2 linked regions of the Schizosaccharomyces pombe genome follow. Changing the gene in region 1 together with any one later gene gives a genetic interaction. Each region holds a gene or a part of one and is shown in the gene's direction. Other genes may lie near its edges.

What was found.
Region 2: of mpg1 (region 1) and ogm2, extra expression of one rescues a mutant of the other (dosage rescue), as found in Schizosaccharomyces pombe (one study listed by BioGRID).

Annotation. Positions count from the first base shown.
Region 1 is NC_003421.2:2,010,441-2,014,648, forward strand, and holds mpg1 (mannose-1-phosphate guanyltransferase Mpg1), read left to right. Parts: upstream 1-2,051; 5' UTR 2,052-2,173; intron 2,174-2,389; 5' UTR 2,390-2,401; coding exon 2,402-3,493; 3' UTR 3,494-3,560; downstream 3,561-4,208. Other genes in the region: SPOM_SPCC4F11.05 (uncharacterized protein), read left to right, coding at 62-161, 207-349.
Region 2 is NC_003424.3:3,311,404-3,316,542, forward strand, and holds ogm2 (protein O-mannosyltransferase Ogm2), read left to right. Parts: upstream 1-2,018; 5' UTR 2,019-2,237; coding exon 2,238-4,457; 3' UTR 4,458-4,497; downstream 4,498-5,139. Other genes in the region: SPOM_SPAPB1E7.08C (transporter), read right to left, coding at 1-932.

The DNA of each region.
Region 1 (4,208 bases):
AACAAGGGAAAGGTTTCCACGTTTGCGGTTCCAAGGAGGTTGATTTAAAGTCGATGAATATATGGAGATCGATTTACTCAGTTTTTCGATTAAAAGAATACTCAACCTGAGCGCATTCATTCATATCTACAGTCGATATTTCAGACCTGACACGTTTCTTTGTTATTAAGTCAATTACCATTTTTGTATATTAACGGCTGATTTAGCTAGTAAGCAATCGATAACAATGTCTGTAAAGAAGCCATACAAGCATCCTAATTGCACAAGTGTTATTCACATTAATAGAGTAGCTATTGTTATTGAACAAGAAAAAGGCAAAAAATCAAAGCAAAACTTAATTCCCAGCTGAAAGAGTCAAATATAATAGCCGTATGACTTTTGGTGTTTAAATGAAATTGCAGAATAAAGCCCGTTAGAATCATCGTATATATATATATATATACCTACTAAGAAAAGTGCATGAATGAGCATTTACCATGCATGCATGGAATTAGAATATACTATATTTGTTGTTAAAATAAAAAATAAAGAACTGTGTTATCAAAATCTTGAATGTTTGATTAAAATTTTGCAAAGACCCATTTTAGCAAATGCTATTTTGTGTGTTTACTTTTCACATAACTATTCTTTTTTTCCCTTTAAATGTTTTTATTCCATCATTTGTAATATAAAGACATATAAATCTACTGTTTCTATATCAACTTGACCTATTTTCCTTCTCAGTTTTGCAAATTTGCAACGTTGGTGAATTCAAAGAATTGAGTACGCGAAGATGATGGATTCATTGTGTTTACACTTCCCGGGACTATAAAAATACAGTAAGCATTTACATTTTAAAATTAACTCTAAAAGTACTCGTTTTTGGAGCTTTGAAATTGGACACGTTCTTCTTCTCTTCCCTCTTCATGAGAACACCTCCATTTCGCAATTAATCGAAAAGACAGTTTTTGAAAGATGTTGTTTCCTCTTGGGGTTTTAAAAGTTAACTAACAAGAGGTATCCAAAAGGATAGGACAAGCGTTACTGCAGAATTACTATTCCAGATTTAACCTGCGTATTATGTTTCAACATTAAAAAAAAAGTTCAGCAGAATTAAACAATCGAGTGTGACCTCGTTGTAAGTCTTTAGAAACGATCATCAAGCTTCTTTTCTTTAGACTATATTCACTAGTACATGGATTGACAATCTTGACACTGTACATGAAAATTTCTATCCCAAGCCGTAATTATATGGCTTTAATCGACAAGAATACTTCGTTAACCCCATCATCGGTGTTTCTTGTGTTTCAACCTTTAATGCATTGTTATAAAGTCTTTGATTGGAAAGTTATCACCAGTGTTGCGAACGATGTTAATATATTGTTCTTGTATTAAGCATTTTGCTGCTTCGACCATCGACACACCTCTTCCTTTACTAAATATAAACAACTTCCAGAGTATTTGCCTTCTCTCCATCCTTCATTTCAGCATGACTTTCTTCAAGTCAAGTCTTTGAGCACATATTTCCTTCAGCTCGTACACGTTCTTACAATTGTTTTGTTTGAATATATCCAACACCTCGTTTGCAACAACCGTCGACATGCATCTCCAATGGAAGACCGAAAAGTAAACAAAGCAACATTTTACTTGTTTACCTTTTGTTGCGTCATTATTTGCTCTTTTTAAAATAGCTTTGATACCTCGTTTACCACCGTGGATAAAATTTTGTCTGGCTTATGGATGACCGGAAACTAGTCGTCTCATCTCATTTTCAATGATTCAATTAACAGTTTCCTATAACATTGGATATGGATTTTTGATGGTGCCTTAATGTGTACATCTGACACATCAAGGAGGTACTAAAGTAATGTCCTTTCGGAAAATTTCGTTAGACCAGATATTGGCCTGTTACTCAAAATTTACACAAGTATTAGCGAGCTGAACGAATCCTGCTTTGTTAACTAATTATGTGTTAACGCATGAAACAATGCTGCGCCCATGTGCACGTGACGGTACTCTCCCTTCCCTTTGTTGATGAAGAGCCGAGGAACCCGCCCTCAGCTTTACAAACCTGCCTCCTCCCAACACCATCCCATAGCATACAAATAAGTGGGACTTTCAAGTTAAAACTTGTTCAAAGGTTTCTAACCAGTGTTTTTAATTTTAAATAGAAACACTTTCTTTTCATAAAAAGGTATGTTCTTTTTTATATTGTTTTCGTTAGTATATGGAAATTGGAGTAGTGAAAGAAAGAACGTGGATTCCTTTTGTGATTTGACGTTTCACTTGATATGCGGTTGCGTGGACATGACTAACATTGAAACCGCATGCTAGAGTGTCCCTTTTTTTCCTTGTTCCATTTTTTTCTCCTCTTGATTATTCCCTTACTAACTGAGGGTTGTCTTTTTAGTTATCGTACAATATGAAGGCTCTGATTCTCGTGGGTGGCTTTGGTACTCGTCTTCGTCCTTTGACTTTAACTTTGCCCAAGCCTCTTGTTGAATTTGGTAACAAGCCGATGATCCTTCACCAAGTCGAAGCTTTGGCAGCTGCTGGTGTCACGGATATCGTCTTGGCTGTTAATTACCGTCCCGAAATCATGGTAGAAGCTTTGAAAAAATACGAAAAGGAGTATAACGTTAATATTACTTTCTCCGTTGAGAATGAGCCTTTGGGAACCGCTGGACCTTTGGCTCTTGCTCGTGACATTCTTGCTAAAGACCACTCTCCTTTCTTCGTCTTGAATAGTGATGTTATTTGTGAGTATCCTTTCGCGGATTTGGCAGCTTTCCATAAGGCTCATGGTGCCGAGGGTACTATCGTTGTTACCAAGGTTGAGGAGCCTTCTAAGTATGGTGTTGTCGTTCATTATCCCAACTCAGAATCCTTGATTGAGCGCTTTGTTGAAAAGCCTGTTGAGTTTGTATCCAACAGAATTAATGGTGGTATTTACATTCTAAACCCTTCCGTTCTTGACCGTATTGAACCTCGTCCTACCTCGATTGAAAAGGAAGTCTTTCCCGCCATGGTCAATGACAAGCAATTACACTCTTTCGACCTTGAGGGTTATTGGATGGATGTTGGTCAACCCAAGGATTATCTTACCGGTACTTGTTTGTATTTATCCTCCTTGCGTAAGCATAAGCCTGAAATCTTGGCCCCAGCTAGTAGCAATATCATCGGTAATGTGTTGATTGATCCCTCAGCAACCATTGGCAAAAATTGTAAAATTGGTCCCAATGTTGTGATTGGTCCCAACGTAACGATTGGTGATGGTGTTCGTCTCCAACGTTGTGCCATTCTTAAGTCTTCTCGCGTTCGCGACCATGCCTGGGTTAAATCGAGTATTGTAGGATGGAACTCTACCCTTGGATCTTGGAGTCGTTTGGAAAACGTGTCCGTCTTAGGCGACGATGTCGTTGTCAATGACGAGATTTACGTAAATGGTGGCAGTATTTTACCCCATAAGAGCATTAGTGCTAACATTGAGGTTCCTGGTACTATTGTCATGTAAAAGAATTCTTAGATGCCGCACTATCACTCCTACTGTTCCATTGTCCACTCTTATTTTCTTTCTTTCTAGTCCTTTGTCTTTGCGTCTTTTTTTCTAATTCGCTAAAGTAATTTTAATCACTCTTCCTGATTTATCACTTTCTTTCTATCTCCTTCTTTCTTCGCCTTGTTCTTCTTTTACTGGCTTTGGAAGAACTCGTGCATTTTACTTGTGTTTATAGGTGCATCCCAGTTCTATATATGAGATATCAGTATGTTGTTTCATTCTCAACTTGGAATTGAATATTAAAAGCAAGTCAACTAATAAATTCACATTTGCCGCTATGTTATCAACGATCTATGTAAACCATTGCCTTTTCTTTGTCATGCTTCACTTTATTTATCCTGCTGTTTTGGTATTACTGTATCAAACAAAGATTTTTCTTTTGAAGGGATGGATAGATTTATTTAAGGCGTTGATCTACTATTTGTATATAGTGTTGACAGAAGTAGCTTCGTATACACATGCATAGTTTTCGAGCTGCAGTTATTTAACTTACTGTGGGTAATACTAATCTATGTTTCTTATCATTTTTTCAATTCAAACCCTTTAATCTGTAAAGTTCTTATATACTGGCTACCACACGTAACGCGTTTGTGAAAATGTATGTTTGCAACTACTTAAAATCGCCTTTGCATTCAATTAACCATGTTATTCAAAATGCACTAGATAATAG
Region 2 (5,139 bases), on another chromosome or scaffold:
AGCTCTTCAACAGTCAAAGTGCAGGTTTTTCCGTTTATCCGAGCGATTTTATGAATAGTTTCAACAGCCTTATAATCATCACCCTTTGCCAAGTAAAACTTTGGAGACTCATAAACAGAAACAAGAAACCTAGCAGCAAACATCAACAAGGTCATTCCTCCCATCGTAAACAAAAAGTATCGCCAACCCTTATTGTCTGCACGATGACAGACAGATTCATCGTCGGGACATGAAAAGTTAGAAATAAGACCCCATGATACCAAATTAGCAATCACTTGTCCAATGGCCCACCAGAAGGACATGACTGTGAGGAGCCACTGGTGAGACGAAGGTAAGGCTTCTAAAAAGATTGCCGAATCAACAGGCAAGTTACCACCCACACCAAAACTCCATAAAGCATCAAAAACACAAATGGAAGCAAAGTTAGGAGAGGCGCCAGCAATAACAGCGAACACACCGGTAAACAGAAATGTAAGGTTGAAAGCCCATCGTCTCCCAATTGTGTCAGCAGAAAGCGACCAAACCATGGCGCCTACCAATAAACCCAAATTTTGAGACAACGTTAAATAAGGAGCACGACCTTCAGCAGGAGGGTGTGGTCCATCCACTTCGTCGAGTCTCATTAAAATTAAAGATGTGCAGACAGGCCATATATTGTCAGACATCCAACCAAAGCCTGCAACAAAAAATAAATACCATTGATATCTGCCAAACCCAATTTCGTTCATTGCATTACTCAGGATACGGGATTTTGCCAAATAAGTTTTGCTAAAGTCATTACTGTCGAATAAATCGTCATCAGATTTGCTGGGCTGTATAGTAGCATCAGCCAATTCTACTGGATATACGAGCTCGGTTTCAGAAACATCTTCCTGCTTTTTGGACTCCGTAGGAGACATATCATATAATCTTGGAGGTATAGAAGAACTCATTTTTATACTGTCCAATTTATAAACATAGACAATAACAAGAAGGAAAATTAGTTCTATAATTTATATGTAATTATCAACGCAGAAACATTAACCAGATGTTATGAATGACTTCTATGAACACTGTGAAATGGTCGAAAAGGAAGGAGAAATGAGGAATTGACGCAAACAAAGAGGAAAATAGACAGAAAAGAAAAAGAAATGTAAAGAATCTCAATAAAAATTCGATAAATCTTACACGAAATACAGGTGCAAATACCTTTCTACCTAAAGATCATTAAAGGGAGCTTTCAGTCAGTCGCTGTTTGATTTGTTTCGATTCAACAAAACAGCTTGAAAGATATGGTAAAAGGAAGGAAGCTGCAAACGTAAATTTGACCTTAGAATGGTGTACTACTTCCATATTCACAATGTGTGATAAGAATGAGCTAATAAGGGATACTAGCCTGCATATCAATATCGAGTGGCAGTAAGTAGTTGTGCGCTAACCATCTTAGCAAATTCGGTAAAAAGCAGTATTTAAAGTCAGAAAAAAATATTTTGCTATTAATGGATTTCATGAGAAAATAAAGATATTGGTTTATTTTTGAATTCATAATGTTTTCAGTACCTCGATAATATGATGGAGTTCCAATATCATAAACTACTGTTAGCACTTGTGGTATAGAAATAACGATGTTAACGTGTTATTGTAATATCACTTTATATTTAAGAAGATATCATTAATTACCCTTAATAAGAATGCAATTTCTGTAACAAACCGTGGCGATTGTAACAAATAGTAGGCATACTTCAGAGTCAGTAAATAAAGTACAAGCATTGCTGGTCAAAATAATAAGACATATTATTACTAAAATATACTCACTAGTTTATGTGGTACACCTGCGATTTTTTCTGACTTCAATGTCTAAACATCGGTGCACTACGTTAGCAATCTATAGGGATAATCAGTTTGGATTACCCTAAAAAGACTTTGCATTACTTAAAATTCATAGTTATTTAAACTCTTAAAAATTGTTGGTCTCTTCGCTACACTTCTGTATTAACATTGAATTACGCAGCGATTGATACATTATTATTGCTTTCCTCAGCCAACATTTAACACTCTTTATTTGGACTTGTATTTTGTTGAGAAATTAGAGTCGAAAAGGACATCTTTTCTTCTCTAGTGATCTTTTTGTTTTCTTTTGGTATCGATCAAGTTTTGGGCTCGTTAAATTGTGTGTGTCCTGAGAAAGCAAACTCGGACTATAGGTGCATTAGCTGAAGTAAAAGCTATATTTTTGTTTGCTTGTTGTACATTGTAAAATGTCCTATGAACAGCTTCATGCTCAGTCGGGTCAGCTTCGCCAGCGCTTTCCTTCGAAGCATAGTGAGATTGAGGATGAGGTAGCAAATGAGAAGGAAGAGTTAAAAGACGCTACCAAGAGTGCTTTGGGTGAAGTTAAAACCAATAAGAAATATTACATTCTTGGTTATTTTCTCGTCCCTTTACTCTTAACCGTTATCGCTGGTTTTGTTCGTGTTTGGAAAATTGCCGATAGTAATGTTGTTATTTGGGATGAAGCCCATTTCGGCAAGTTTGCCTCGTATTATTTGAAGCATGAGTTCTATTTTGACGTTCATCCACCTTTGGGTAAGATGCTTAACGCTGTTGCTGGCAAATTGGTTGGCTATGATGGTAGCTTCGATTTCAGTTCTGGTGCTACCTATCCTGAGGATTTAAATTACAAATTTATGAGACTTTGGAATGCTGCGTTTGGAACTCTATGCATTCCTTTGGTTTATTTTACTGCATTAAACTTTAATTATTCGTTTCTAGCTGCTACATTATGCACTTTGATGGTAGCGTTGGACAATCATTTGGCTACCATCAGCCGCTTCATTCTATTAGACAGTATGTTACTTTTTTTTATTATCAGCACATTTTTCTGCTTGTCTAGATATCATGTTTATCATAAGGCTCCCTTCACCTTTTATTGGTTTAAATGGCTCTTTTTGACTGGTGTTTGCATTGGCTGCGTTTGCAGTGTCAAGCTTGTTGGTCTCTTCATTACAGCGGTTGTGGGTCTTTATACTGTTGATGAGTTGTGGTGTTTATTGAACGATAAGCGAGTTACTTGGAAGGCGTATGCTGGCCACTGGATTGCTCGCGTCTGCCTGCTTATTTTCCTCCCTATCCTTATTTATGCCTTTACTTTTTGGATCCAATTCGCTGTTCTCTACAGATCAGGACCAGGTGATGCTCAGATGCCTTCTCTTTTCCAGGCTCGCCTTGAAGGATCTCCTTTGACCAAGAATCCTATTGACCTAATGTATGGCAGTAAATTCACATTGAAGAGCAGAAATCCAACTGGTGCACTTTTGCATTCTCACGTTCAAACGTATCCTGAAGGTAGTGAGCAACAGCAAGTTACTGGTTATCATCACAAAGACGGTAACAATGAGTGGATGTTTGTACCTACTCATGGTGTGGCCTATAACTATGAGGAGAACGATCCTATGAATCCTATTCTTAATGGAAGCGTAGTTCGTTTAATTCATCCTTTTACAAACCGTAATCTTCACACTCACAAAATCCCTGCCCCTCTGAACAAACGTATGTATGAAGTCTCTGGATATGGCTTGGGTGACGTCGGAGATGAAAAGGATTATTGGATTGTAAATATTTTGTATGATACTGCTCACAGAGATGCGTATAACGTACGCTCTCTTTCTACCGTCTTTCAGTTGTACAACCCGGTAGTCGGCTGCTATTTGAGTTCATCATCTTCTAGTTTACCTTCATGGGGTTTTGGGCAAATCGAAATGTATTGTGATCCCGACCCCGATCCATCAAATACTGACACTCAATGGAATGTTGAAGAGCATATTAATCCTCGTCTTCCTGAAGGAAGTATTAACGATTATCCTTCTTCCTTTTGGTCTGATTTTCTTCACCTGAATCGCGCCATGTTACGTGCTAACAATGGTCTTATTCCTGATGAAGATAAATTAGATGCCCTTCGCAGTGAAGCATATCAATGGCCCTTCCTTTTAGCAACCTTACGAATGTGCGGATGGGGCGATAACCAAATCAAATATTTGCTGGTAGGGAACCCCGTTGCTTACTGGTTTGCAACTTCTAGCTTAATTGTTTTTGCATTATTTGTTGTGGGAGCCGTTTTAGCTTGGCGTCGTCGTGTGCTAAGATGGTCTCAAGAAGCTTGTGATACTTTCCATTATGCCGGCATTTATCCATTTTTGGGCTGGTTCTTTAACTACCTACCCTACTATATTATGGGACGTGTTTTGTATGTTCATCACTACGAGCCTTCGTATGCCTTATCGACTTTCACTGCAGCCTTCGTTGTTGACTGGTTTACTAAAAAGATGCCTAAGATTGTCCGCGTAGTTGTGTTTATCTCACTTTATGCTATAATTGCCGGAGTCTTTATTTATTTCAAGGATGTAACCTTCGGCATGCATGGACCTGCATCCGACTTCCATCGCCTTCGTTGGCTTAACTCTTGGAATGTTCATGATTAATTTCAACTTATTTAAAATAATATATAACATTCAATTTCTCTGTCTTTTATCTTAATTGGTGCTTACTTTGAGTCGTAGCTTACTGCTGTTTCGTTAACAGTTGACTGTCTTTTTTTAATATTGATTTTTATTAATTTTTTGTCTTTCTTTCAGCATCATCGTTCACGCCAATTTAGTGCAGTAAAGCTCTTATATTATTGCTGGGCAAGTGGATAACAGCAATGCAGAAAAGCTGTTAATCAATTTTCCATATCCAATACTGTAATCTGTAAAAGCGTGGATTATCTATCTATCCAATATATGTACAGGTTTATCTCTAATGCTTACAGTAAATTAGATGAAATTATCAAACGAGTTAAAACTCAAATCACATTTATGATGTACTTTTCAAAACCAAAATTATCAAATTACTTTAATACAAATAATGGTGTAAAGACTTCTACTTAAACATACTGTAAATACCCTCCATAGTCCTAATTTGCATGAAAATTTAAATATGAACAATAAAACAGATGAAATACAATAATCCTGGCTCTAAAAATTGCATATCCATTTAACCTAAGCTACTAAAATAACGTTTAATAAGTAAACACATATGGATAAAAATATGTGGGAAACTTCTCTTACAGTAAACTTCATAAAGTAAAACAAGCCACTGCCTTTTAGTTTTCATTCAATCTCC